Linked DNA regions of Rattus norvegicus. The protein of the gene in region 2 purifies or fractionates together with the protein of the main gene of each other region. This does not show direct contact. Links are inferred from orthologs where the notes say so. Each region holds a gene or a part of one and is shown on either strand. Other genes may lie near its edges.

What was found.
Region 1: the proteins of Srsf3 (region 2) and Mepce purify together in Homo sapiens (affinity purification with mass spectrometry; 3 studies listed by BioGRID and IntAct, with this or other methods). This does not show direct contact. The link is inferred for Rattus norvegicus from reciprocal best matches to the Homo sapiens genes SRSF3 and MEPCE.
Region 3: the proteins of Srsf3 (region 2) and Srrm1 purify together in Homo sapiens (affinity purification with mass spectrometry; 3 studies listed by BioGRID and IntAct, with this or other methods). This does not show direct contact. The link is inferred for Rattus norvegicus from reciprocal best matches to the Homo sapiens genes SRSF3 and SRRM1.
Region 4: the proteins of Srsf3 (region 2) and Larp1 purify together in Homo sapiens (co-immunoprecipitation; 3 studies listed by BioGRID and IntAct, with this or other methods). This does not show direct contact. The link is inferred for Rattus norvegicus from reciprocal best matches to the Homo sapiens genes SRSF3 and LARP1.
Region 5: the proteins of Srsf3 (region 2) and Ncbp3 purify together in Homo sapiens (co-immunoprecipitation; 3 studies listed by BioGRID and IntAct, with this or other methods). This does not show direct contact. The link is inferred for Rattus norvegicus from reciprocal best matches to the Homo sapiens genes SRSF3 and NCBP3.

Annotation. Positions count from the first base shown.
Region 1 is NC_086030.1:24,546,347-24,552,300, reverse strand, and holds the start of Mepce (7SK snRNA methylphosphate capping enzyme), read right to left. Parts: upstream 3,706-5,954; 5' UTR 3,115-3,705; coding exon 1,531-3,114; intron 448-1,530; coding exon 229-447; intron 1-228. UniProt on the Homo sapiens protein: S-adenosyl-L-methionine-dependent methyltransferase that adds a methylphosphate cap at the 5'-end of 7SK snRNA (7SK RNA), leading to stabilize it.
Region 2 is NC_086038.1:7,099,345-7,104,834, forward strand, and holds the end of Srsf3 (serine/arginine-rich splicing factor 3), read left to right. Parts: intron 1-167; coding exon of another isoform or gene 168-201; exon of another isoform or gene 202-1,452; intron 1,453-1,499; coding exon 1,500-1,538; intron 1,539-1,697; coding exon 1,698-1,784; intron 1,785-1,871; coding exon 1,872-1,899; 3' UTR 1,900-4,173; downstream 4,174-5,490. UniProt on the Homo sapiens protein: Splicing factor, which binds the consensus motif 5'-C[ACU][AU]C[ACU][AC]C-3' within pre-mRNA and promotes specific exons inclusion during alternative splicing.
Region 3 is NC_086023.1:152,864,213-152,869,702, reverse strand, and holds part of Srrm1 (serine/arginine repetitive matrix protein 1), read left to right. Parts: exon of another isoform or gene 1-1,438; coding exon 1,439-1,609; intron 1,610-2,044; coding exon 2,045-2,160; intron 2,161-3,432; coding exon 3,433-3,636; intron 3,637-4,924; coding exon 4,925-5,113; intron 5,114-5,406; coding exon 5,407-5,490. UniProt on the Homo sapiens protein: Part of pre- and post-splicing multiprotein mRNP complexes. As a component of the minor spliceosome, involved in the splicing of U12-type introns in pre-mRNAs. Involved in numerous pre-mRNA processing events.
Region 4 is NC_086028.1:42,721,781-42,727,270, forward strand, and holds part of Larp1 (la-related protein 1), read left to right. Parts: intron 1-2,879; coding exon 2,880-2,941; intron 2,942-3,160; coding exon 3,161-3,226; intron 3,227-4,028; coding exon 4,029-4,203; intron 4,204-4,808; coding exon 4,809-4,937; intron 4,938-5,015; coding exon 5,016-5,222; intron 5,223-5,323; coding exon 5,324-5,486; intron 5,487-5,490. UniProt on the Homo sapiens protein: RNA-binding protein that regulates the translation of specific target mRNA species downstream of the mTORC1 complex, in function of growth signals and nutrient availability.
Region 5 is NC_086028.1:58,162,066-58,168,299, forward strand, and holds the start of Ncbp3 (nuclear cap-binding protein subunit 3), read left to right. Parts: upstream 1-2,175; 5' UTR 2,176-2,197; coding exon 2,198-2,380; intron 2,381-2,482; exon of another isoform or gene 2,483-2,765; intron 2,766-4,120; coding exon 4,121-4,186; intron 4,187-6,234. UniProt on the Homo sapiens protein: Associates with NCBP1/CBP80 to form an alternative cap-binding complex (CBC) which plays a key role in mRNA export. NCBP3 serves as adapter protein linking the capped RNAs (m7GpppG-capped RNA) to NCBP1/CBP80.

The DNA.
Region 1 (5,954 bases), on a different chromosome or scaffold from region 2:
TCCATAGGAGGCAGAGGCAGATGGGTCTCTAAGTTTAAGAGAGCCTGGTCCAGAGTAAGCTTCAGGACAGCCAAGGCTACACACAAAAACAGTCTTGAATAATAAGGACTGGGGCTGTAGCTCACTGGTAGAGGGTAGGTTATCCCTGCCACGTGTGAGGTAAGGGGCTCAGTCCTCCGTAAAAATAAAAAGGTGATTATTCCCTCTCTCCACAGAAACCCAACTCACTGTGAGAGACTTTCTCCTGCAGTAGGACGACCACGGTTGGGGCTCCAGGACCAGAATGCCCCCAGGTCGCAGATGCCGGTAGATCCGGCGGAACATTCTCTTCAGCCCCTCATCACCCCAGTTCAGGTGCACCCACTTGGTGAGGCTGAAGCAGAGCACCACATCATACTCAGGTCTTTGGGCATCCACCAGCTCATCTCTGTCCAGGACATAGTTACCCTGTGGGCCAGAAGAGGGGAAGATGTCAAAAAGAGGGATGAGAAGCACTGCTGGCCCCACAACCACCTGAGGACTGAGAACCTCACTTCAGCCCTGTGGCTTCCTGAGGCTCTTCCCAACAGCACCCTCTTTTAGCCCCATGTTCTCTTCTCCCTTTTAAGCTCCTGGTGCTAAACCAAACAAACTTAAAGGGGAGCCTGGTTAGGTTTAAATTGAGCTAATTTATCTAATGGTTAACTGGAGAAATTACAGTGTTCCCAAAACCCTTACCCAGGAGACCTCACATACAAAGGCCATGCACTGTTTTAAAGACAGAGACTCTTAAGCTGTGTTTCAGGTCTGTTCTTTCTCTAAGGAAATAACCTTAAGAAATCTCTTTTTAAAGAAGGTAAACTCATCACCATTCCTGGGGAGACATTTCCCAGGCCAAGCCACTGGCAAAAGTTCCCCTGGATGGCCTAACAACTGTGTAATGGAGGGAACTAGCATGATGTCAGGCTGGGCACTCGCTCCATGTAGAGCCCTGCCTTCACTGCCCCTTCTCATTGTTCAGTCAGCATGGGAAGACAAGCCCATGAGTTCCTGACCAGTAATTTCAGCAGTCTGTGCTGCATCTGGGGAAAAAAGGCAAATAAAGTCCCTATCAAAGTCCCAAACTACACATATTGGAGTGTTTCCCCTCCCCCAGACACCCAACTTCAGGCTCCCTCAGGAGATTTGAGGACAAGGTTCCATCTGGACTCAACAGGAGAGGTTACCCTCAAGGGAAGCGGATTGTTTGGATTTTAGTCCCAGTTGGAAGCAGAACAAGTCAGCCCCCTATGTTAGGGATGAGATCCTTGTTTGTAGTCATGAGAAAAGACCAGATGTTAGAGCCTGAAGGTAGAGATCCCACTTTCCACGTTATAGGAGCAGAGATAACACACCCAGCAGAGATTCTCTGGCCAATCCAGACTGTTCTCTCCGGGAGATGGTTCTTGTATGAAGGAACAGATGCATGGATATGGCCATCCCCCCCAACACATCCCTACTTAATCTCATCTTCACATTGGGACCCTATTCCAAGAGCCTCTGGACTCTTACCGTGACGAAGACGACATTGTTGGGGAAGACAGATGTGTCCGCTCCATCCAAGGGCAAATGGGGTGCAGCGATGGGACCCCGGCTGGCTGTCAGTGAGGCTGGGAAGCAGCTCCTTTTTCGGACAGTGGTAGTCCCTTCCTCCCCCTCTGTCCCTGGGTCCCCCTCAGAAGTCTGAGCTTGGAGACGAAGCTCCTCGGACAGGTAGTGTCGGATATTTTGGCGGGCAGAGTGGATAAGTCGTGGATCAATGTCCAGCCCCACCATGCGGGCTGGGCCCCACTTGCAGGCAATACTTAGGGTCAGATGGCCAACGTTGCAGCCCAGATCTAGGACGTCCCGGCCTTGAAACCACTCAGGCTTCAATACCCTAAGGCGCATGTCCTCACAGGAAGGATTGCGATAGCCATAGTACTTGCAGTAATTCCCATACTGGAACTTGAGCTGTTGCTTTTTGAAGCCAGTTGCAGGTAGTGGGTGGTGGTGACGGCCTCCCCCACTCCCTCTGCCCTTTTCCTTGGAACCCTGGCTTCCACCCCTAGCCCCTGCCTCTGACTTGCTGGAAGTCCTGCGACGTTTGCGATGTCGGGAGGAGGAGGAAGAGGGTGCAGAGGTAACTGAGGCAGCTGGAGGGGCAGAAAGGGAGCCTGAGGAACCCTGCAGGGCAGACGGAAGGGGAGACACAACTTCATCCCTGCAGTTGATGGCTGTGTTGAGTTCATAGGGTTGAGGGTCATCTCGGTTCTGGCCTCTGTGCTGCTGCGTAGCACCCTCCCCATGGACTGAGGGTGTGAGAGGGTCAGTGGGCAGCACAGCTTGGCTATCATTCCCTCCAGATGCCTGCTGCTGCTGGTGGTGCGGTCCCCGGTGTCTATGGCGCTTGCGACCAATCTTGAGTGGTGAAGCAAGCACTACATGGGCTTCATCAGTGCACGTGTTGAGACTGAGTGGGTCAGTGATATCTTTTGGGATGAGGATCTCCACAGGGTCTCTCCCCTTGGCCGGAAGTGGGGATGACTTTGGGGTCTCCGCATTGAGTGCGCGACTCACTTCCTCATCCAGGAGGCTATTCAGGTTCAGTGGATCAAATATATTACCCCCCAGAAGGAAATTGGATGGTAACACGGAGTCGCAGTCCGAATTCACTCGCCGGCGCCTCTTGAAGGCCGGATGTTTGAAGCTTCCACCGCTCCCTCCCCCCACGTTACAGCTATTTCTTCTTTTGCCCCCACCACCCACTGGGGGTCGGTGGGGCTGGTAGCCATTGCGAGGTCGAGGAGGGGCTGGGGGACCCAGGTCCGTCCCGCCCCCTCCCCGGCGCTCCTCCCCCACGTCCGCAGGAGCGGCAGCTCGCCCGTGGGGCTCCCCATGCGTCTGTGCCTGGGGGCCGCCCCCTCCGCTGGCTGTGGCCCCGGCCGAGTGCGCGCGTGGGCCCGGCCCGCGTTCTGTCCCGTCGAGGAGCTCCCCGGAGGCAGCCTCTTGGTGCGATCGCACCTCGGGGCCGCCCCCTCCACCCGACTCATCTTTGAGCGGCGGCGGTGGGGCTGGCACCAGAAAGGGCTCCTTCTCCGCCGCCATCTCGATCATCTCCTCTCCCTGTTTAATTTCCCCTTCCCAAGCGAGGGTACTGAGAAGAGATCAAGGGGAAGCCCCCCTGTAACCCTTCCTAAGACCACCTCACTCCCTCCTTCCCCGAGTGCGCGCGCAGCTCTGCCTCGCGCCCAAGCGCCTCCACCTCCCTCCCGCAACACACCAAGCGCGCTCCACTCGCCCGCGAGACCAAAACAAGATGCCCGCGAGACCCGGACAAGCCGAGGAACCAACTGCGCGTGCGCTGACACCCTTTTCTCCGCCGCCTCTACCACTCTGCCGCGAGCGCGCACGACGGGCGCGCGTTCCGCTCGCCCAGGACCCACGCATGCGCGCTCCGCCACCACCCAGGCTGCGCGCGCATCGGGAGTGCGAACCAACTTAACGGCTCTGAGAGTTTAAATACAGCCCCCCCTCCCTAATAGCCTCACCCTCCCCCAGCCCGAGACGCCCACCGCCCCACACGGACACCCGACTTCCCTTCGCTGCTAAGTCCAAGCCCTACTGATATCCTTTGTCTCTGCTGTGAGATCCCACCCACCGTAGGCGGGGAACGGGAGCTGGTGTGAAAAGGTCTCCTTGACACCCGACCCTTGTTCCTGAGGAATGAGGCTCCGCGGTCTCCGCCCGGCTCTAAACCCAACAACCTCCCTGCCCCGCCTCCTTCCTCCCCCATCCCCGCCCCTCCTAGAGAGCGCCTGCGCACCGTCCTTTTGGGCTTGCGCGGGTTGAAGGGGCAACACGTGCTGGAGATGATGCTCCGCCCCCTCCGTCCTAGGGGCGGGGAGTATGACGTCGTTTCCTTAGGTTAGATGCACGCAGCGTGCGTCAGCACGTTTCCAAGGGTTGTGCATTCCCAGGAAAGGGGCAAGCTCATGAATTATTCATGAGCAATCTAGTCCTTCCCCTCCTTCTTCCCGCCCATCTCATTAGAATTAGAAGGATTTAGGAGAACCTGAGGGGGGAATGATAAAGTAGGCGAAGGAGTCGAGCACACTGTCTCAAGAACTGTTGTCAATTAAATGCAATACATTGTTTAAAATATTCTTCGAATTGAAAACAAGCAAGCACTAAAACATCGAGGCTGTACAAATTCCTCTTCCCCTGAAACGGCCTGGTCGTTCAGGCGACCTCCCTTCCACCAGCGAGGAACATCTAGAGAACCACGCCTTCCTCTCCTCCCTTCACCTACGTCAGGCCTCGGACGCCTCCGCTACAGTGCGGCGCCTGCGCATCAGTCCCCAGCGCGAAGGGTGGCGTTGTTGTTATCGTCAATGCCACCTTTCGCGTTGTGGATTTTACAGCATTATCGCTGCAGCTTTGCTCCACTAGACACACAAGCGAATGTGGGCGGGAACGGGTATCGACCTGTTTTGGGCCTTCTGCTTCGGCCAATGGGAAGCACTGATTCCATGCCGAGTCCCTAGACTGATGGCTGGCGGAGTTTCCCTGTCAGCAGACTATCAGAAAAGAAGCAAGAGGGGGGCCCAAGATGGTCTCAAAATATAAGAGCGTGACGGAAACTAAAAGATAGGGGTCATAACATGGAAACAGGAAGGAGAAGGAGATTTTAGGCAGAGACAAGAACGAAGTGCCTCAGGTGCTCCGCTGCAGCTTATGGGGGGGGGGGGGAATAAAGGCGCCGGCGTGGATTATGGGACTTGTAGTTTCACTAGGCTTTCACTCGGAAGATGGCGAGCTACTCCAGCTGCTCAGACGCAAAAGCGGCTTCCCTCGGCGCATGCGCACTACGTCTGTGAGCGCACGCCGCTTGGGGGCGGGATTTGTCCGTGTCTTCGCGCCTTCTCCTGGTGGCGGGAAAAGTAGCTCGAGGTGGAAGGGATGTGCGGAATGGCTGCGATAGCGTTAGCTGCGCTTCATCTTTAGGTCCTCGTCTCCCCAGAAGGTAGTTGTCTTTTATGCGGCTGCAGAGGAAGGTGTTAGCTGTGGTGAATCTGGGTACCTGTTGGCTGAGGAGAAATTTTCTCTTCAGAGTCACAGCGAACCCTAGCCTCTTCTCTTCAGAATCGCTAATCTTCAAAACACTCGTAACAAAAAAATAACCCAGTATTGTGGCGGGAAATGGAGAGTTGAGGGACAGTAGACTGAGCGGGAGCGGAGGGGAGGCTTCCACGGCGGGATTCTTGGTCAGGTGAGAGAATAGCAAACCGCTACTTGACGCTTTGAGGGGAGGCGAGGGTTGTTTGCCTGGGTGAGATCTTTGGTGTTAATGGCCGTACCAGAGAGAATTGATAAAGAAAGAGGAAAACTAGAAGAGCACTCAAAGTCCCCCCCACGGGGGAGGGGGTTCGGTTTTCATGGCGCCGCACCGTGATGGCTGTAAGCAGAAGTCTGGGAACATCCCCAAGGGCCAGCCTGAGGTGCGGGACAAGGTTGTGGAGGGACATGAGTGGAAGCCATCCAGAGGCTGAGGTCAAAAATAGAAATGACAACTATTGGAAAGAAACTGTTTTGCTCACAAGTGACCACAGGTCTTTAGGGTTTCTTCCACTCCCCCACCCCTGCTCTGAGCCAATACAGGTTACCATGAATTTTATTTGTAACGTTCTGTGGAAAGTTTAGTTTGGGTAGTTACTTCTAAGAGTAAATCTGGTCAGGGTAAATCCGATGGAACATCCCTGCCCCTCTCTCTTCTCCCCTCCCCTCCCTTCCTCCTTTTTTTCCTTGTCAAATGTTTAAAAGATCTGCAGAGCACACAAGTGCTCACAAAGTGAACTTAAAAACAAAACAGGTAAGCCACGAGAATAGGCAGGATTTCATAGGCTATTAGATAATATAAAAAACCCATCAATTCCATCTTAAAGGAAATTAAATTT
Region 2 (5,490 bases):
ATAGGAGTTCAAAATCTTGCCCCTTTTGCTATTTTGAAAAACAACACACTGTTGCCCATCATAATGAAGAGTATTTGTTAGCTAAGAGATGGTTGTACTGATGGCTTGTTTTTCATTTTTTTTGTGCTTTTTGGTCCATCTATTAATAAAAATGAACCCCGTTACAGAGTCACCATCATGTCTCTTCTCACCACCCTCTGAATCTGCATTAGCCAGTCAACTAGCCCTTTCAGCGTCATGTGACCAGCGCGCCCCATTCAGCTTGGCTGGTGTCGTTTCACATGACCCAGGCTGGCCAGTCGTCAGGTTGCACCGCCCTTTGGTTCCCGAGCATGCTGTTTTCTCTCAGCCTTCTCTCCAACCTTAACCAAATCGGCAGCAGCCACCTCGACCGCCCACACATTCCTGGCCAATCAGCTCAGCTGTTTATTTACCAAATGTCTTCACAACAACTACAGCAGCAGCCTTCGGCTAACAAAAAAGCAGGAAAAATCCACAACACCCCCTTCGCCAACCAACTAAATCCAACGCAACATCTGGCAAAACCTTTTCAGCAAATTCTTCCTGGCCGTCAGTCCGGCAGCCTCACCTCACCATTTCTAGCTTGTTGAAACCCAAAACTAGTAAGTTTTTCCTGCTTATACAGTTTACTGCTGGTTAAAAATAAGGAGTAAGCGGCTTAAAGTAATTCTTTTTCTGGATCAAAGGCTGGCTGTGCATAATTGAATGGTAACGTACAATATATTGCTTGAAACAACTTTTAAGGGTGATAGGGAACTCATAATGTGACTAGACCTTCAAGTGAGCTTATGTGCATGTGTGAGATGCCAAACTAAAATTTAATATCTCTAACAGATTTCAGCTTTTCTTCCTAGCAAAATTTTGTTGAATCCTATCACCTTTAAATGGTTTTACTAACAGTTTTCAAAGTTTAAAAAAAAATGGGGGTGAAGTGTGGGCCAAGCTACGGTAATTTTGATAAGCCTAAACACACTCTTAAATGTGACATCACAAATGCAGTTCTAATGTAGCACTAAATGGCATCGATGTTTACCACACCCACCGCGTTTTCACAAAATTACACTATTCACCTGGTACTTAAGTCTTGTTAGAGACTTAAAGGTTTTGCATGGGTTCCAAATACTGGTTTATGGTACAGTTTTTGGAACTACTTGTGGGACTACATTTTGGTGTGGTGTTGTGGGGTAGTGGAGTTAGTTTGACATGAAGTTTTGCATTGGACAGATCTGCTGTGAAGCATTCTTTGTTAAAATGAATCCATGGTTGGAATACCTGCTTTTCACTTGAGCTTTTTGTTCCTTAATCCTTCTGTGCCCTTTTTTTTTTTTTTTTTCTTTTCTTTTTTTATTTTTGGACGATGAGTGCCAGTTCTCCGGCACATTCACTGGGCCCAACAGTGAAATTGAAAAGTTGGGAAATGCCTCAACGCCACATACAATAATTGACAATTAGTCTAATTTTACTATTTCTGCTTTTAGATCCCCAAGAAGGAGAAGCTTTTCGCGAAGCCGGAGCAGGTAAATGTTTTGGTGCCCTGTTCTTAGAAATGGAAGCTTAACTCTCTGGCTAGTAATTACAGTGACAAGGGTACCATACAGTCAGCACTAAGTTAGACTGAGCTAGACTTTCTTCGAGGTGAATTTCTGATAAACTAATGTATCTTCTGTTTGCTTTAGGTCTCTTTCTAGAGATAGGAGAAGAGAAAGGTCTCTGTCTCGTGAGAGAAATCACAAGCCGTCTCGATCCTTCTCTAGGTCTCGTAGGTAAGATCAATGATTGAAGTATTGAAGATATGTATATGTAATCTGTGTACTAAGATAATGTTTAATTTTTTTCTTTTGTTTTTTTAGCCGATCTAGGTCAAATGAAAGGAAATAGAAGACCAGTTGGCAAAAGTGGTGTACAGGAAATAACTTCATTTGACAGGAGTATGTACAGGAAATTAAAGTTTTGTTTGAGACTTCATAAGCTTGGTGCATTTTTAAGATGTTTTAGCTGTTCAAATTTGTTTTGTCTCTTGGAACAGTGACACACAAAACGATGTAATTCTCTATGGTTTCAAATGGATCATATGAGGCATGTGATATTAAGAATTGTTACTTTACAATGTTCCCTTAAGCGAGATTGAATTTTCTTTGAATTTTAGTTTTTCATAGACTGAAATAAACCTAGATCCTGCCCAGTTTGAAGTGATGTACTGATGACGTCAAGCACCTAGCGGAAATGGACTAAAGCTGTAGTTCCCCTAGTGGCTGAGACACAGTGTGGCACTGTGGGTGAAATGGTGAGCAGCCTTTAAAGGCTGCTGTGAACACAACCAACAGATAAAGGGTAGGAACCACACTCTGAAGGTTTTCACAGTGGTTCCTTCCTGGTTGCTGTATGGGGATGCAGAGCTGTCTAACATCTTTATTTGGAAATGTAAAACTAAGATACCAGTGTCCTATCAGTTTAAGGGTACATTGTAGAGCTGAACTCAGTTACTGTGCAAGATTTTTTTTCATGCTGTCATTTGTAATATGTTTGTGAGAATCCTTGGGATTAAAGTTTTGGTTACAAATTGTTGTTTAACTTGAAAGCCTGTTTTTCCTTGCACACTCAAAATCTGTGAGCTTGGTATCAAGTCCAGGTATAACATTCCTATTGGAAACCATACTTATATTTTCTTGTAAAGTGCTTTTGAATTAATAAAATACTAGCATAATTGTGTAGTAAGCAGTCAGCTGAGTGAACCCCCATTGCTCTTATCCCTGGAAAGCAGTTGGTTACCCAGTTCGTTCTTTGTAAGAAACAACTGAGAGGCACTGCGTTAGCGAAGGAATTTTCCCCCCTTTGCTTGTCACCTATGAGAGCCATGTTTTGGGTGTGGAAGTCAGTTCAGGATCATGGCAGTTAGTGACTAACATTTTATAAAGCACCAATCTATGACACACTGTAAATCCTTTAAGTTGCCCTTAAAAAGTGGCTTTGATCTTCAGCATGAAGTCATTGACATTCAACAAAATTTTATAATTCGTTCCATTTTATAACTTGAGGTGTTGCATGGGATTCCAGATTGATCCATCATGATGTAAAATCCACACTGGTTAATTGTGATGATGCACAGTTGAATATGGAGGCATGTAAACCTTTTCTCTTAGAAATCTGGAGGAGCTGTGGTTCCAGGGGGTTTTTTGTGTGCAATTAGATTAAATCATAATGCAACAGTCTCGTGGCTTAAGTTTCCTTAAATGTGTTCTTTTGAGATAGTTTTTGGGATTCCACTGTACTGACTTTGTCTTTGTAAGATGCCATTGCACAAGGTTCAATCTGTAAGCTTATAAATCCCCCAAAATTTGTTATCTTTTTACAATAAATTTCAGTAAGAAAGGAGAGAATTGTGTTCAGAAGGTTCCAACATGAGCCTTTGAAAGAGGTAGCCATATTCAAAGAAGATACTTTAGATTCCCTGTTAATTGTTAGGAGTGCGCTTTATCCTTCAGGGTAGGGTTGGAGTCAAGCCTGTTCCTTGTAATTGTAGGTCACATTAGCTACTCTTTTTTTTTTTTTTTTCCGGAGCTGGGGACCAACCCAGGGCCCCACATTAGCTACTCTTGATCGTTTTCTGAGTGTCATACTAAGTTAGGGTGACTGCAGGTGTTTCCTGGAGGTCATTATTAGTGACTGAGAAAGGCACCTGAGATTGGGATTCTCTTTTCATTGTGGGTCACCTCAGAGGTACATACTTTACAGCACGGTGTAGGTGCCCGCCCTTTACCATCCAGGTTCCTTAAGTGTCATGGTGGCATCTCCACCCTGTATTGGACCATAGGCACTGACCGAGGCATGAAGCTGAACAGGAGATCTTAGTAATTGTTTTTGACTCTCAGCCTCACTCTGGCATGTTGCTGCTTAATTAGAAATGAATGGTGTTGCTTATAGAAGTCTAAGGTGCTGCATGTATAGGTGAGAAACGGCCATAGTCTCCCCAGTCACTGCGTTAGTGCCTTGTCTTAAATGGGCTTTGCCTTTCTTAGTCCAGATGGGACTTTGATACCAGACAAGTCATCTCTTCCAGTGTATATTTTTTGTACTGCCAGACTGTTGCCTTCTGGTTTTCTTTTGGGGGAGGGACAAAAAAGATTTTTATTAAAGACACTGACTTTAAGCTGGGTTGGAGTATATTATGTGTATTGTGTCTCCATCCATGTACAGCACTTTATAAATGAGCTATGCTTGCCACAGGGCTCAATAGCACTGGTGAGGGAGGAGGAGAGAGGGCAGAGTAGAGTTGCGAGTACTGCCTGTTCTCTGTACAACTGCTGCTTGTTAAGGTTTAAGTTCATCTCTAGAGGATCTGACACCTTCACCTGTACCAGGACTGACAAAGGAATTAGCACAACTTATGAAAGGAATAAAAGGACTGAGTAGAAAGAACAAGAACTACCTGTGTTAAGTTAATCTTAAAAGTTTAATTTTATGTGAGCACAGTGTCACTGTCCTCAGACACCAGAAGAAGGCATCAGATCCCATTACAGATGGTTGTGAGCCACCATGTGGTTGCTGGGATTTGAACTCAGGACCTCTGGAAGAGCAGGCAGTGCTTTTAACCTCTGAGCCATCTCTCCAGCCCCTCCAACTCACAACTTAAGTTCTTTACATGATGAAGGACTGGCCTGTAAGCCAGTGGTGTTAGCATGCTGCCCCTGCCACTCCTGCCCCCCTCTTCAATGGCAGCATCTTTGGTTAGGGCTTGTGTGCTGCTTTCAAATGAGCTACCAGGACCAGGTTACTTGGTTGTTTTTTTTTTTTCCCCAGAGCTGGGGACTGAACCTAGGGCCTTGCCCTTGCTAGGGTTAGGGTTAGTGTTCTACCACTGAGCTAAATCCCCAACCCCTACTTGTTGGTTCTTGAAAAGGTTGGAGACAAAGGGGCATGCTGTAACTGCCATTGAGCCATAATGCCCATCCCATCCTCCTGGACCTGGCTCACAGGCTGCCCTGCTGTTTTCCTAGAGTCTGGCTCCCAAGGATTCTAGCGCAGACCAGAAGAGCTTTCAGCATTCAGTAGTTCCCATTGCTGCTGGTGGTGGTGGTGATCCTGGAAAGGAAACTAAATGTTTTCCTAGTGAGCCCCCTATGTCATGCTTTTCCACAGGATGGCTCTGACATGAGTATGTTAGCACCAAGTACTTAGGAAGCAATGGAAGTGAGTGGTTTCTACTGTTAAGATTTATTATACCTCCCCACCCAGTTTATTACAGTTTTTTAAAAGTCATCTCAGGCTGGCCTCAAAACAGCTACATAGCCAAAGAACCCGCCTTCACCTCCTCCCCTAATTTAGCTTACTCAGTGCTGGGGAATTGAACCCGAGGTGTATGCTGGGTGGGCAGGTACTCGACTGACTCCAGCCTCAGCCCTTGGGCCCTCTTTTTTTTTTTTTTTTTTTTTTTTTTTTCTTTTTATGTATACATCATACAGCTTTCTACCT
Region 3 (5,490 bases), on a different chromosome or scaffold from region 2:
CCAGTTAGAATTAAGGCACAGGATTTTATTTACATTATAGTAAAATTTCAGGCAGATAACTTGACAGTCCTAGAAAAGCCAGTTAACATGATTGTTCCTATCTTCCAATATTAAATAATACAAGATATTACAGCTGATGTTTAAACCATTTCTGTTATAACATAGTTTGCTGTTTTGTCATGGCATCCCAAGGACAGTAAAGATGTACCATAAAACCTTTTGGTAAATCACTGATGGGAATTTACTTTTACATTACTCCTCTTCCCAAGAGTTCATGCTTGAATTCTGACAGAACAGTTACCATTCCAAACGATAAGGTATTTCATTTTTAAAACAATGTGGTAATTATTTTGCTTTGAATATTTCTTAAGACTTAATTTTAAGAAAGGACTTTATACTTAAGTATATTTATTTCATTTAGAAACCAGAAACATGGGAGACTGTTTTATAAATGCTTAATAGTAAACTTTATTGGAGAAATGCTTTATTGATTTGAATTTTAGTACACTTTAAAACCTAAATATCTGGTAGTATTCCCCTTGTAGTGAGCATGAGATTAAAGTTTAGAACTTTTTAAACAATCTTTTCTTTTTTTGTGGTTGTGTACTCATTATTGCTTGTTCGTCTTTTGCAATTTAGATAAATGATATAACATTAAACTCAAGGTGGTTGAGTTGCAGTAGGGAGTCGGAAGCAAGCCAAGGGAACATCTTTCTCTACAGGGGACTTGGCGATTCCAAACCCCCAAGGTTCCAAGAAGAAACTGAAGACACCTGGAATCTGTACTTGCTTTGTGCTATTGAGCTGTGCTTGTTATACGGACCTTGTTGCTTGACCAACAGACCTAGTGTTTAAAAACCCACATTACTTTTAGAAATCTTGACTCCTAGTTTTGTGGACAGTTGAGCATCTGTGGCATTGCTAGTAATAGGTTTCCATGTGCAGTAGTCAGGCTTCTAGCTTAGTCTTCAGATGTTACAGACTGCATGCATAACCTGTTAGTTCTTGTAACTGAACACTAGATAATAGACAGTTTACAGAAAGTTACCGTAGTGTAAAGAGAAGTGTCTATGTACGTTTTCAACTTCTTGTTGGGGCAAGTTTTCCAGCCAAGCAAGTATTGTTAGTAAGTGCTAGAATGTATAGTGTTTGTTCCATGATTGTCTTTAAAGTTGATAACTACATGAGGCCCACTAACAGCCACACAGTCTAAATACTTAAGGAAACCCACAAAGGCTGCTCTAATGCTTTTGGTTCAGTGAGGGAAATTTTGATTATCTAGAAATTATATCACCAAGAAGCAAGTAGGGAGCATATATATTTGTATATATGTACCTAAGCCCCTTATGGTAGACTTAAATACTAATTTACGTGAGTTTCAGGTTGGTTCGTTGGTTTTGAAGTAACCTGGTTTTCTTCCTGTCATGTCTTTTCGCAGAACCCAGATTCCAAAATGATGCAAATCAACCTGACTGGATTTTTGAATGGGAAGAATGCTAGAGAGTTCATGGGAGAACTGTGGCCTCTGCTGTTAAGTGCACAAGAAAATATCGCCGGAATCCCTTCTGCTTTCCTAGAGTTGAAGAAGGAAGAGATAAAGCAGAGACAAGTAATCCTTTTTGAACTGACTTGAGGCTGATGGTTTGCTTTAAGGATAGCTGTTTCCTTTGAGAGCTTTTAACTTGTGGTGTGACTGTACACTGGTTGTGGTTTACCACTCTCACGAAAATTAGAGCAGCTTTTTCCCAGAGGTCAGTGATGATTGGCAGGGATCTTTGGTTTTGTTTAGTGTTTAGTTTACCTTAAAAGAGAATTTAAATGAAGTATGGAAAAAATATGTGCAAGTTCTCACATAGGCAGTAATTATAAAGTCACAGACTTTAAATAAATGCTATAAATTTATAGTAATGATAAAGGATAACGGAAAGAGTGTTGGAAGAGTAAAGTTGAGAGCATGGAGCCCCCTGCACCAGCCGCGGTGGTTGCCACGCCAGTGTGGGGTGCTTTGATGGCTGGCTCTTAGCGTCTCACTGTGTGCTTACAGATTGAACAAGAAAAATTGGCGTCTCTGAAAAAACAAGATGAAGATAAAGATAAGAGGGATAAGGAAGAAAAAGAAAGCAGCAGAGAGAAGAGGGAGCGGTCTCGCAGCCCAAGAAGGTAGGACAGAACAGATACAAGGACAGTGTTTTCTAGGTGCCTTGGGTCCTGAGGGGTGCTCTGGCAGAAGCTCCCAGCTTGAAGACCTGGGGAGCTTTACTGGAGAGCTGCTGTGTGCTTCTGGGCTAGAGAGAGCCTTTCTTGCCAGCACTTTGGCATATTTTATACAGCTACCCAGGAGGTTGAGGCAGTGGGGGTAGGGCTGGCTTCTAGGCCAGTCCAGGCAATGCTAAGATACTCTTAAAAAAACCCGTGATCACCTCTGTAATTTAGATGAGTTACTCATTCTTAAGTAGAAATGAGGATTTCATATTGCTTTGCTTAAATAAAGCACTGGGATTTTTGTTGGTACTGTATTCTGACTATTTCCATTTCCCTTTTATTAAATCTGCTCGTTAGCATTCATATACTTACCTAATTCCGTGTTCTGCTTTTCTTAGATGGTTGTACTGAGCCCAACCTTCAGATCATTTATTTGTTTTCTTCTTTCTTCCCATGAGACTATTGTTAGGCTCACATTTTTAAGTCCACGGTCAGCTTCTGCTATATTTGTGGTAAAAGGTGAGAATTCCATCAGGCTTTTCATTCTTAGGTCTTTTAAAAATAAATTGGGGATTCGTAAAGAAAAGAGGAAGCAATATTTTTGTTATTTAGTTTGTGCTGAGTTTGGAAACTTACAGAAGGAGTGCCTCTAAGGCTGAGCGCAAGCCACCCTGCCGTTTAGCGTTACTACAGTTTTTAAAAACTAGTAAATATTTTTGGATTAGGCGCACTACAGCTTAGAAAGGAAGAAGGGGCTCCCGCCAATAAACATTTGGCATTTCTCTTTTCTTGAGAACGTACTACTTGTATTGCACCATCCATTTTCCTGCATCTTGAGGCTCTGCCTGGGCATCTCTGATAGGAGCTACCTATACTGTGGTACGTTGGTATACAGGGCTGACTTCCTGGTAAGGAAGAGTTGCTTTAGCACTTTCGTCTGAGGCATTGGTCTTTGAGTGATCGTTGGGAATAGTTGAGAACCGGTGCCTCCAGCCCAACTCCGTGCCTCCCCTTCTAACTGGTACTTGAGGCTGTTACCTCTGTTTGCTTGTCCTTCTAGTTCTCTCTGGCCTTTTCCTTCTCAAGTAGATGAAATGGATATCTTGTTTCCATGTGAAACTTCTCAGATACAGACAACATTGGGTAACTTAAAAGATTAATCCTTGATTTTCCCTTTGTCTACTCTAAACTACATTATTAAAAAATCTGAAAAAATTGCTTTCATCCTAGACGCAAATCCAGATCTCCTTCCCCTAGAAGACGATCTTCCCCTGTCAGGAGAGAGAGAAAGCGCAGTCACTCTCGATCTCCCCGTCACAGAACCAAGAGCCGGAGCCCTTCCCCTGCCCCAGAAAAGAAGGAGAAATCTCCAGAGCTCCCAGAACCATCAGTGAGAATGAAAGACTCTTCAGTACAAGAGGCCACATCTACAAGGCACGTTCTTAACTCTGTTACATAGTCTTGTCAGGCTGTTTGTGCCCCCTCAGATGACACTGCTAACTTCAAAGCAAAGTACCAGTTTTCCTTTTCTTAAGTTTTTTAATATTATAAAGTTAGTGTTGGAAATGAAGCTGAATTTGTGTGTGTGTGTGTGTGTGTGTGTGTGTGTGTGTGTGTGTGTGTGTGTGTGTGAAATAAGGAAAATGCCCCAGAGGTGACTGCCTATCTTCCATATTGTTTCAAAAATTTTATAGATCATAATTATTGATTTTCCTACCTGCTTGCCACAATATATTGTGGACAAATTCCTGTTTTGTTTTGTTTTCTTTTTGTAATAGGGGGATATAACCCAGAGTTTTGCAGTTTTTGTCACTGACCTATATCCTATTAAACATCTTTACCCCCAAATGCAAAGAGATTTATTCACTTCTGTTAACTGGGGTACAAAATATCCTAAATAAAAGCTACCCTCCCTCTTCAGGGGAACCGTTTGTGCCCCATGGCTGCGTTTCTCTTGAGCACAATGCATCTGCTGCATCCAGTCTCATAGCTTACAAGGCCACACAGCACTGCACGCAGCCTCTGCAGTCGTGCACACTGCTCACACAGCACCCATCCATGGCCACTACAAAGCGCTATCCACTGATTGCTTGACTGGTGGTCGAGGAGATGAGGAGATCCTGTCTCAGCTGGACCTTGTGCCTATGGGCTGTTTGGTCAAGTCAGCCTCTTTCCCTTCATGGCTCCAAAGGCTCCCAGGGATCAGGCTTTCTGGACTCATGCAGTTGACAGTGACACAGTTCTTGTCCCACACATGAAAAGGGGATATAAATTCTTAGTTGCTCAGTGAATCAGGATGTGTACCTGTCCTTTGAAACCAAGAGGTATTTGCAGGTTTTGAAAACTTTTTTAAAAAATATGGTGCTCTGCATCTGTTTTTACCCTTTAATCTGTTAGTAGTGAGGGACAGGCCCCATGGTTAAGAGTGTGGCTTTAATTTCATTGTCACTGTGGGGTTCCGAGGAACTGAACCCAGGTGATCAAGCTTGCACCATAAATACTTTCTTTCTTTCTTTTTTTTTTTTTTTTTTTTTTTTTTTTTTTTGGTTCTTTTTTTCGGAGCTGGGGACCGAACCCAGGGCCTTGCACTTCCTAGGCAAGCGCTCTACCACTGAGCTAAATCCCCAACCTCCATAAATACTTTCTAAAGATAGCCAATGATTGAATTGGCATGGAATTCTGAGGAGAGTCGGGGGAACAAAACAAAATGCTATTTTCACAGTGACATCTTGAAAGCTCCCAAGCCTGAGCCTGTACCAGAGCCCAAAGAACCATCTCCAGAAAAAAATTCCAAAAAGGAAAAGGAAAAGACTCGACCAAGATCTCGGTCACGTTCCAAATCACGGTCCCGGACTCGTTCTCGGTCACCTTCTCATACGAGACCCAGACGGCGACATAGATCCCGATCAAGGTGTGTTGCTGCCCCCGGACTGGTGTGCACTTTTAGTTGTGTGTGCTGGTTTCCAAAGTAGTAAACAGTGACAGTTACAGAAAACATTAAGGATGAAGGTGACCGGCAGTTAAGCCAGTGAGGAGATGCTGTCTCAACTGGACTTTGTGTCTGTGGGCCATTTGATCTAGTCAGCCTCTTTATGAGAAGTCCAGTTTGCTGTGTACTATAAGAATCTGCATGAGTGTGGTGGTGGTGAAATTAGTGACAAGAAGTTTTTTGTCCTTGGGGCCTAATTCTGTTTCTTATGGCAGATCATACTCTCCTAGAAGGCGACCAAGCCCCAGACGACGACCATCTCCCCGAAGAAGAACTCCACCAAGACGGATGCCTCCTCC
Region 4 (5,490 bases), on a different chromosome or scaffold from region 2:
AACTACAGTAAGAAAGGACAGTTAGGAGTTAAGAGAGACTTTCACTCAAATCCAGTAAGAAGGGGCCTTTTTCTACTGCCAGTGGATGTCTGGGAACCCATGGAGTTTCTTTTTTTTTTTTTTTTTTTTTTTTTTTTTGTTCTTTTTGGTTCTTTTTTTTCAGAGCTGGGGACCGAACCCAGTGCCTTGCGTTTCCTAGGTAAGCGCTCTACCACTGAGCTAAATCCCCAGCCCCTCCCATGGAGTTTCTTGCAAGAGAATAAAGCCTTCTAGTTCCTAGAAAACCCTTTCCATGTCTACCTACTGCCTGCAAACAGTGGGGTTAGAACTGTTTTCTCATGTAAGTGACAGTGGTGTGTCCTGAGCTTGGCTTGGGTAGTAAGTGGTGGCAGCTGCAGGTTTTAGAAGGCAGGTTTAGAGAGCTGACTTGGCTTGGTGCAGAGTGGACATCAGGGTCCTGCTGGCTTGGAGGCAGTCTGAGGCTCTAGCAAGGATCAGGGAAAAAAAGGGGATGGCATAGTTCTTCTTGTTAGAGAGCCCTCTGGGATGGAACTTTCTAACAAGCTCTACTTAGGACAGATATAAGATCACTTTCCTCTCTCTTTAGGTGGATGCTCAGATAGGAATAAGCAGGAGGCTCCTCTAAGCTTTCTCTCTGTACTGGAGACAGAACTTACAGTCCATGACCATGTTCTGCTGAGATCTCAGGGTGATCTCAGTTAGTACTGTTCAGTTTTGAGAGATTTTATAAGAAATAAGATGGCCACTAGGAAGGATATACATCTGGAATTCCAGCACTTCGTAGGCTGTGGCAGGGGAATTGCTGGAAATTTGAGACTGCTTTTGGGCTACAGAGCAAGACCCTTCTTTTAAAATGCTTGAGAAAATAGCTTTAAAAGGCTTTATTATGTTTGTTTATTTTGTTTGTTTTTTGGGGGGAGCACCAGGGCATGCTTGTGGAAATCCGAGGACAGCTTGTGAGAGTTGATTCTCCATTTCCTGGCGAGGCAAGGTATATTTTACTCAGACCAAGAGACTTGAAAAGACCAGTGTCTGGAAACTTTTGCCCTCTTTTCAGAGATGATTTTCGGTATACCTTACTTCCAGTCCTTGTGCATAGAATTCTTTCTTTCTTTCTTTCTTTTTTTTTCCAGAGCTGGGGACCGAACCCAGGGCCTTGCGGTTGCTAGGCAAGTGCTCTACCACTGAGCCAAATCCCCAGCGTGCATACAATTCTTGTTGTAAACTTTGTCACTAGCTTTGGGGCTTGCTTTCCTGCTAGCATGTACCAATGCTGTTGAGCACATGAAGAAATGACTCCAGTTGTAGCTCAGGTGGGCGGCCACTGTCCAGGCCCTGGGCTGAATTGGATGAAGATCTGTTTAGTTGTTAGATGGTCGGTATATCCCTGGGTGTCCTGGAACTTACTTTGTAGATTAGGCTGTCCTCAGATTTCCAGAGATCCTTTGTCTCTGCCACCTGAGTGCTGGCATTAAAGGCATCTACTACCACACTTGCTCGGCTCGTGTGAGGAGCTTTAGACCAGTCAAGGAACTACTAAATGTTCAATGGCTTATCTGGGTCAACCTGGGGTCAAAGGACAGTGGTTTTCTTGCACCTGAGATTTTCTAGTTTTCTGCTTCTCAGCCCTGGAGGTTGCTGTGGGCTCAACAACTCCAGCTATCAGAAGACTTATGTCCACCATTAGGGGACAGTGGCTCCAGTAACCGGCCAGAAGCCAGGAATGAATTGGCTTCACCCTTAGGAACTGGGCAAGGACACTTTCTTCTCATTAAAGGACATAGTCTGTTGAAAAACCTTGTGAGGCCAGCCAGCCAGGTTTCTGTGCTTGGAGGCTAGGGTAGTTCCTGACCTGACATGGCAGAGGAGGGAAGTACAAGCTAAAGTGAGTGAGCAGAATCTCAGGTTGTGTTTCTTCCCGTGGATCTCTAGAGGCAGGAGGGACAAGACACCCTTGGTTTTCAGGACCAAACTAACCAGAGCCACTTCTTCTAGACTTGCGTACTCTGTTCCTTAAAAGCCATCTTCGTCTTTGTAGAAAAGTTAAATATATGCCCCACAGATGCATGATTACATACACGCTCCTCTGTTCTATAGAAAACAGATGAAGTCATCATCTTCTATGTGTCTATCTCCACATAACCAAAGACCAGTATATTCTAATGGCTATTGTGAAAGTGGATGAATTGAAATTCGGTGATTTTAGTACTGTTGGAGTTGAAATTGTGTATAGCTCTTGTCTCACTTGTATTATTGGGGTTCAATCTAAAAGATGAAACTGGCCAGGTATGGTGGCATGCTTGGGAGGCAAAGGATGTGTCGGGGGGAGATCTCTATGAGTTCAGCAGTCTGATCTGCTGACAAGTTCCAAGCCAGTCAGGGCTACACTGGGAAATGTTGTCTCACAAAATTGAACTTTAGAGTCAAATCGGAGTATGCCTTTTCTTTAGGAACAGAAAAGGTAGTTCTTACTTCAACTACATGTCAGCGAGGACACAGCAGGCCTTGGTATGGCCCTGGACGTGTCCATTCACATGTTTAGCTTTATTTTCTTTGGGCTTGCAGAAGTATACAGAAGACTCAATCTCCTTACAGGTTTTGCCTATAGATTTGGAGCTCTGAGTTACAGTGTAGACTTGGTTATGGACCTTGAGACTCAGTTGATAACTCATAAAAAATACAGACTTAGACTCTAAGGGTTTTCCCACTTCAGTGTTGAGCAGCTTGGTGGCTAGGCTGCCAGTTTATATTGTTGCCCTTTCTGCTGTGGCTCCTTTGGGAACCTGTAGGTGCATGGTGGGATGGGCATGGTAATGACATAGGCTCTGACAGCTGATTCTTTCTCTTTGTTCCCACAGAACCTTCTGCTCCGGCCAAGGTGGTGAGGGCAGCTGCTCCCAAACAGCGTAAGGGCAGCAAGGTAAAGACCGGGGAGTGTCCCTGTGGGCGCTCATTATTCTTGTTCTCATAAGCACTTCGGGCCCTTCTCTAAGAGCATGGAAGCCTTTATGGGTGCCATTGCATGGTGTCTGAGTGCACACACTGTTGTGTCCCTATCTCTAAAAAGAGCTAGAGCTTGGGTGTGGAGCAAAATGGCAGGCAGAGTAACCCCAAGGCCTTCATAGACGATACCTTGCAGGTTGGTGACTTTGGAGATGCAATCAACTGGCCTACACCTGGAGAAATAGCCCACAAAAGTGTGCAGGTGAGTGAGGAGGGGTTGGCAGGTTCAAGTACTCTTCATACTGACTTAGTTGGTTTTTGACCAAGAGCCATAAACACCACCTTTCTTGATTTTTGAAAAGGAGTGGTCGGTGAGCACAATAGTATGTATACTTCTGAAATCCCAGCTACTCAAAAGGATAAAGAAGGATGACTATACTCAGTCCAAGAGTTCAAGGCCATCCTTTGAGACATAGGACTCCCAACCCCCTTCAATTCTCAACAAATGAAGAGTAGTTATTTAAGATGGACAGGAATGAAATAATTAGGAATTACCATCATGTGAGCCTTTGCCTGGTTTCAGGGGTGCCAGGCACTGTTCTTTTTTGCCTTCCAGTGGTGGCTCAGCGGGTTTAGGAAACAACTGTGTTACAGTTTTCCAAAGCCCATATTTTTCCATTACTGAGCCACATTTTTCTATGAGTAATTGAAAAAAGAGGTATCAGTTGAGGCACTGACTCCAGTTTGGGGAGGTATACTTAGCTCCCCTAGATTCTAGCAGAAGAGACTCTTTCTTGGTCAGTTCAGTTCCACTCATCACTTTTGTTCTGAGCTAGTGACTGCCCCAGTGGGTCCCTTATGGTAGAGGTTTTGGTACAGACAGGCCAGCATCTTTTCTATCCCACAGATTTGGGTAGCTAGAACAATCAGTTGTTCTTCCATAGCTGGTATGGTCGTGTTTTGTAGTGGTGTTGTCTGAGTATGAAAGCTAGACCTTAGGATGTATCTAGTGTAGCCTGTCCTTATACTTCCCCAGTGACCACATGTTTCCTTGCCTCTTGTAGCCACAGTCCCACAAGCCTCAGCCTGCCCGTAAGCTGCCACCCAAGAAGGACATGAAGGAGCAGGAGAAAGGAGATGGAAGTGATAGTAAGGAGAGCCCAAAAACAAAGTCGGATGAATCGGGGGAGGAAAAGAATGGGGATGAGGACTGCCAGCGAGGCGGGCAGAAGAAGAAAGGTAAGTGGCTTGGCCAGGACCCGGGAGGTGTACCTTTCAGAACTTTGAAATGACATAAGCCTGACCTGCTGGAGGAACTTCAGGCCAGGGGGTGACTGACTGCTTGGAGCAGCTTTTGCTCAGCCTTAGTGCATCTTCTCTTATACGGGCTTTTATATTGCTCTAAGAGTTTCTTAAACCTGTTGAAATGATACAGGCTTGACTGCTTTCTCTCCGAGACCTATTCTGTGTCTGCAGGCCAGGCTTGAGGTGGCAACTCTTAACTCATTAAGCACAGCAGCCTCTCCATCCAAGGTGGCTCCCTTGTTCCTGCTCACTCCACCTAGAATGGCCCCACAAGGTTGTCACAGGCAGTGATGTGTCACATGTGTGAAGGGAGCCTAGAAAGTTAGTTTTTATTCAGGTTTCCAGAAAGTGATTCTTACATCTGGAACCTCTGATCTCCTTATTTTAGAGATTTATAACAACAAAAAAGAGGTCTGGTGTTTGAAAAGGACATGCCTATGGCTACCAGATGGGTAGTTGAACTAGAATTTAGGGGGAAGGAAAAAGCCATGTCTGAGGGGCCTGCCATGCCTCTCTGACATGCTTATGCCGTCCCTCAGGGAACAAACACAAGTGGGTTCCGTTGCAAATAGACATGAAGCCTGAAGTACCCAGAGAGAAATTGGCCTCACGTCCCACTCGCCCACAGGAACCAAGACATACACCTGCTATCCGAGGAGAGATCAAAGGTATGTACTGTCTGCTATGGAGAGTCTAATGAGGAGGATACTCTCAGGATTTACCTTGTGTTACTTTTACTACTATAGGATCTGAACCTGCCACCTACATGCCTGTATCTGTGGCCCCACCTACCCCAGCCTGGCAACCAGAGACCAAACCAGAGCCTGCATGGCACGACCAGGATGAGACATCGAGTGTGAAGAGTGATGGGGCTGGTGGGGCTCGGGCTTCCTTCCGTGGCCGTGGACGGGGGCGTGGTCGTGGACGGGGCCGTGGACGGGGTGGCACTCGAAGTACGTGAGGCCCCTTTGGGCTCCGGGATATCCCAGGGAGTGCGGCATGGGTAGTAGGCGAGATCCTTCTCTCTTTCTAATGATGCCCATGTCTCCTGTAGCCCACTTTGACTACCAGTTTGGCTACCGAAAGTTTGATGGTACAGAGGGGTCCCGCACCCCCAAGTATATGAACAACATCACTTACTACTTTGACAATGTCAGCAGCACTGAGATTTACAGTGTGGACCAGGAGCTGCTCAAGGATTATATCAAGCGCCAGATGTGA
Region 5 (6,234 bases), on a different chromosome or scaffold from region 2:
ACCCAGGGCCTTGCGCTTCCTAGGCAAGTGCTCTACCACTGAGCTAAATCCCCAACCCCTGAAAATTACTCTTTACCACCTCCTAAATTTCTGTGGTTTCACCTCATTGGGCTGCACTGTGGGCGGAGAGGCAGAGAAGTGTCTGGAGTAGCAGCCTGGGAGCTTAGTGTTGACTGCCTGATGTGTCCCTGTCCCCACCCCCACCCCGCTGTGGCTGTCCCAAGGCTTCTCTGCACTGCAATTTCAAATCCCTCTGAATTGAATCCTCAAGCTGCAAGTCTCTTTAGGAGGGAGAGAGGCCTGTGTGGCTGAGTAATTAACCGCTTCTGTTTCTCCTACCTCCCACTCTGTAGGCCCAGAAAGATAGCGTAATGGTGGGGTTCATGACTGTCACCCACAGCTGGCTATCCCAAACACAAACCTTTCTATAAAATATACACTAGGAAGCCAGGCATGGTGGCACATGCCTATAATCCCATCACTCAGGAGGTAGAGGTAGGAGGATTAGGAGTTTAAGGTCATTCTCTGCTACAAAGCGAGGAGCAGGCCAGCCAGTGCTACACAGCAAGATTCTGTCTCCAAACAAGAGGGCTTGGGTAAAGCTCACTGGTAAAGGGTTTTGTTAGCATGCTCAAGTCTCTGGGTTCCATTGTCAATACAGCAAAAGGAGAACAAAAGGAAAGGAAGGGGAAAGGGAGGAAAGAAAATGCATTCTATTCTTTTAACCCAGTTTTGTTCTTACATTTGTACTGCACTCAATGGATGTTGCCGTTCTGAGGAATTCCATCTTGTTTGTCCCAGGGTGCAGGCCCATTTTAAGAAAAGCTTGAATGTGCTGCACCACTTGTGTTGGGTCTCATAAGCACACATAATTAGCACGTTTGTTCCTTACATTCTTCTTGGAGGTGTGTGTCACCTCTTTGTTCTGCTGAAGGAACTGACATTCCGTGCCATGCCCAAGGTAACCTAGTGTATTTGATTCTTGTATTCTTCTGCTTTAGAATGATTTGTCTTTCTCTGAAAGGATTTTTAGGAGTTCAGATATATGGTCTCAGATATATATTCCTGGTTCAGATCGGGAGATAGGTCTAGAAAGGACCCCGAGCTAGTTAAATATGACATAGGAGGAGACACAAAATCAGGACTCATGACAGACAAGAAGTGCCTTCTGAAAGTCTGATTGTTCAGACTTTCCTTTTTCCCAGCCAGATTCTTACTAGAAACATTTGCAAGAAATCATGCTTGTGAGTCTTGTGATGGATAGAGCTCCCAGAAGTGAGAAAATGGAGTCTACGCTCTGGTTGTGCCCTTTGGGTAGGTCACTGCAATCTTTGAGCACCCCCTTTCCATTTAAGATAGGGTCTTCTGTAGCTTAGGCTGGCCTCAAGCTAGCAAGTGCCCCTTGGTGCAATTGGAGGATAACCTTGAGCACCTAATCCTCCTGCTTCTATCTCCCAAGTGTGGGGAATACAATCATGTACCACCATTACCAGTTTAAATTTAGTCAGGTCTCACCTTGGATCCCTGGATGGCCTGGCACTCGGAGATGAGCCTGCCTCTGACTCCTGACTACTGGAATGACAGGCATGTAACCCTACACTGGGCCCTAGTTTAAATTTTTTGACTACATAAAATGGTTCAATTACTGGAAGACTTGACAGAGACAAAGTTTACTATGGAAATAACTTTGTAAACGCTCAGATTGCCGAGATGATATATTATAGTTCATTCTGGGCTCTGAAGTACAATTGCCTAGGCTTAGATCCAGGTAAATAACCTACCTTGAGAAAACCGTGCCTCAGTTCTCTCCTATGTAAAATGAAAATAATAATAAAAGAAAGTAATAATAAAATCTTATTCCTAGAACTGTAAGGGTTCAAGCCATGGAAGTATTCGGCACGCAGTAACTGCTCAGCGGTTCTTAGAAGTATAGTCCTTAAAGTGTAGGTATTTTGGAACCTCAGACGAAGCTCCACCTCCATTCCTGTTTCGTCCCGCCCCCTACCCCGCAAAATCCCGCCCCAAGCTGGCCCCAGGTTCTGAGGCCACCAAGGGGGCGCCAGAGATAAGGACGGCTCTCTGGTAGAAACGGACGACGCTCTAGGTGACAGAGGTGCTTCTCTGTGGTCATCAGCGACGGCGCTCTAGGCGGCCGGAGTGAGGGGCGGGCTTTCTGTGGTGCGGCCGGCTGGCAGCTATGGCGGCCGTTCGCGGCCTGCGAGTGTCTGTGAAAGCGGAGGCCCCCGCTGGGCCGGCTTTGGGGCTTCCGTCGCCCGAGGTGGAATCCGGTTTGGAGCGTGGCGAGCCGGAACCCATGGAGGTTGAAGAAGGCGAGCTGGAAATCGTGCCGGTGCGGCGCTCCCTAAAGGAACTGCTCCCGGTACGGGCGAGGGGCGGGGGCTGAGGAGGAGGTCGCCGAGCGAGTGTCCCTTGCGAGGCGGGGAGGCGGTGGACAGCGGCGCTGGCGCAAGTCCCGGAATGCGGCGAGGGGCGCGAGCGCCGAAAGGCGGGGGCCGCGCATGACCCGGAGAGCTCCGGAGAGAAAGGACGCCGGGGCGCCCGGAAATGGGTGCAGAGAACGCTGGAGGAGGCGGGGGTTCTCGGAGAGAGTTGGGGACACCCCTCTGACTGCCCCTCGGTGCGGGCCCGTGGCCCGGAACGAATGAACTGAGTTCGGCTGAAGATAAAAGGGAGTCGCGGGCGGGAACAGAACCGGATCAGTCCTGAAAGGAAGTGTTAGGTGCCGCGGGCGTCCAGGTCTCCTGGTGGGTCCTACCCCGGCGGAGTTGGTGTCACTTAAACATGACATTCGCTCTTCGGTTGGGAGGGCTAGACTTGTCAAACAGCAGACACTTGTGTGTTGGTATTGTGAATGAGTGTCCTCATGTCCCCGCGTGCCTTCACTGCGTCTACTTGGTGGTCCCAGCTTCTGACGCACGGTGACATTTGATCTTTCTTTAACCACAGTGGATATGAGGAGTGTTTTGTTTGTGGTTTGGTATCCACATGCCCGCTCCTAAGGCTGGTGTGAGGCCTGGGTAGCTTGATTTTCACACATTAACCCCCCCCCCCGTTTAATTATGCGATAGCAGGTCTTGGTTTTACGTTTGAAGTTATAGTGAAGGGTAAGGTAGTGGTGACAAATATCTTTGGTAACATCTATAGATTATACTGTGGTCGTGACTTTAATCAGTTTAACATGTATATATCACACATCTCTCTATGTGCTGGTGTAATTCCAGGTGCCGAAGAGCAAAACTCCCTCTTGGTGTTTGCCCTAGTAGGGGACACAAGTAAATAATTTCCTTTTGTGTTAAGTGCTACAGAGAAAACACATCCTGTTAATAGGATAAAGTACAGTGGCCAGGAGGGATGTGAAGCAGTTGGTATGTGTTGGGATGCACAGGGAAGTCCCCCGAAATAGATTCAGCTTTAACCCTAAATGACAAAAAGGGGCCAACCATGTTGGTTGGAAAGGGAGCAATTCCTAGCAGGGAGGACTGCAAGCACAAAAGTCTCGGACATGAAAACAAGATTGTTTTGTTGAAGAAATGTTGGGTTGTCTTCAGCACAAGAGGAGAGCAGAAGTCAGAAAGATGTTGTAGAGGAAAGCAGGGCCTAGAGATTGAATGCAGGGGCCAGGGTATTGGCTGCAGACCCGAGACTTCAGTCCTCATTCTAGTCACTTCCCCTCCTTTTTTTCATTGTATTAGGCTGTATTTTTCCCAGAGATCTAGGACTTGAAACATTTTTGTGGAGGCATTTGCTCCACCTAGTGGCCTTTCATAGAAAATTTGTCCTGTCTGGTTTGGGGAGTTAAGTGACTGTCTCATTTTTGACATTTTTCACAAAAGACTTTAGGCTTTCATTTATCTAGATGCCCTGAGTTGACAGAATTACTTAATGTTATGCACAGGCTCCTGCCTGGGGTCTGGAGAAGACTTCTTATTAGAATGGTTGCTTTCTACTGTGGAGCCTCAGAGATAGACTTCCTCCTAACAAGGGTTGTTAGAATGGAGAAGGGTTGCTAAAAAGAATGGCTTCAAAAAGGGCCAGCTGTCAGGCTGCCTTTTATGGTGGATTGTTCTGTCGGAGTTTCTCATTTTTCCTCTTCTGGTAGGACACAAGCAGAAGATATGAAAACAAGGCCGGCAGCTTCATCACTGGGATCGATGTCACCTCCAAGGTGAGACAGACGGTGATTATTCAGGTTGATAAGCAGATAGAATTAGTGAATGTGGTCTTTACCTTTTACACAATGGTAAATATTTTTGCCTCATTTTTTTCTTTTGTTGCTGATATGTATCTCATCTATCTATGATACACATATCTCATAATGTCAAATATCTACATCTGTCTGCCCAACGATGTCCTTATATATCCTGAGACCGTTCAGGCAGCATTTGTGTGTGCACATATCCATGAAAAGATAATCACTGAACTTAGTTGTCTGTGCTAACCATTTCCAAGAAAGAGTTTGCACTGGGAATGCTTATTTTAATATTTATTATTTAACATTCACTTGTTATGTAGGATGGATGTGTGTGTTTTGTGTCAAAGTGTGCATGCTGTAACACATGTGAAGTCAGAGAACAACATCAGGTGTTGGTTCTTACCTATCATCTTTTTTGTTTGTTTGTTTTTTGTTTTTGTTTTATTTGAGGCAAGATCTCTCTGCATAGCCTTGGCTGTCCTGGAACTCACTATGTAGACCAGGCTGGTCTCAAACCCACAGAGGTACACCTGCCTGTGCATTTCAGGTGCTAGGATCAAAAGCATATGCCACTACATCTGACTTTTTTTTTTTTTTGCTGGTAGTAGTATTATTGATAATATTTTTAAATTTGTGTATGAGCATTTGCCTGTATGTATTAAGTGTACCACATTCAGAACTAGGATGTGAGGAGCTCAGGAGAGGACTTCAGATCCGTTTGGACTGGAGTTTCAGATAGTTGGGAGCTGCCCTGTGGGTATTGGGAACCAAACCTGGATCTCTGTAAGAACAGACAGTGATTGTAACTGCTGAACTATCTCTCCATTCCCCCTCCTACCTTGTTTTTGAGGTGTTCTCTCATCTCTGTCTCCTGTCTCTAAGAATGTAGAAATTACAGACAAATGCTGCAGGGTCGGACTTTTACATGGTACTGGGAATCTCATTCAGGTTGTTAGGCTTACCTGGCAAGCACAACCACAGTCATGCTATGCCCCTGGCCTCGGGGATGCTTAAAGCCATTAATGTATATCTGTGGAAACACTGCTTTCCAACTTAGAAAAATGGTTAGAAGTTGTCTGCATGTCTAAGCTTTGAGGGCCATGCCGACTGATTATCCCCAGCATCTGACAATATTGTCTTTTGCTAAGTGATTGCGTTACCATTGTACCACCTCCATTATCATACCTCAGAGTGAAGCCTCTTAGTTCCCATGTGATAAATTGTCCATACGTTGCTTTAATTCAGTTCATTCAGACTTTTTCTTTCTTCATGATTTAAATGTGTGCTGTTCAGTTTAAAACAGAATTTTCCATTTCAATTGTACTTTTTATTCTGTGTATATATCAGTGTTTGCCTCTGTGTGTTATGTGCACCATGTGCCTGCCTGGTGCCTATGGAGGTCAGAAGAGGGCATCAGATCCCCTGGAACTGGAGTTACAGACAGTTGTGAGCTACACCATGTGGGTGCTGGAAACTGAACCCTGGTCCTCTGTAAGAGCCCGTGTGCTTTTAAGTGCTGAGCCATCTCTCCAGGCCCAATTTAAAATGTAAAATATATATATATATATATAATGATAATATATATATATTAGATCTTTAAAAACAAGAATAAAAGTAAGTATGTTATACTTGGCTTTTTATAATTTCTCCCTCTCAGTTTGTGTCAGATACTTAAAGGCCAGAAGAAAGAGCTGAACATCTTCTAGTGGAATAGAGAATAGTACAAAGTGAAATGTTCTCAGTGTCATTAAGAAGTAGACTGCTGAGGGTTGGGGATTTAGCTCAGTGGTAGAGCGCTTGCCTAGCAAGCGCAAGGCCCTGGGTTCCGTCCCCAACTCCGGGGGGTTGGGGGGGGGAGAAGTAGACTGCTTTCAACCTAATACTTGAAACAGGTACCCGGGAAAAGGATTTGGCTAGGAGATTTACTGACTCAGTGAAGTGCTTGCTGTGTAAGCATAAGAACTGAGTTCAGGTCCCTAGCACTCGTGTGAAAGCAAAGCAAAACAAAATGCATAGAAGTT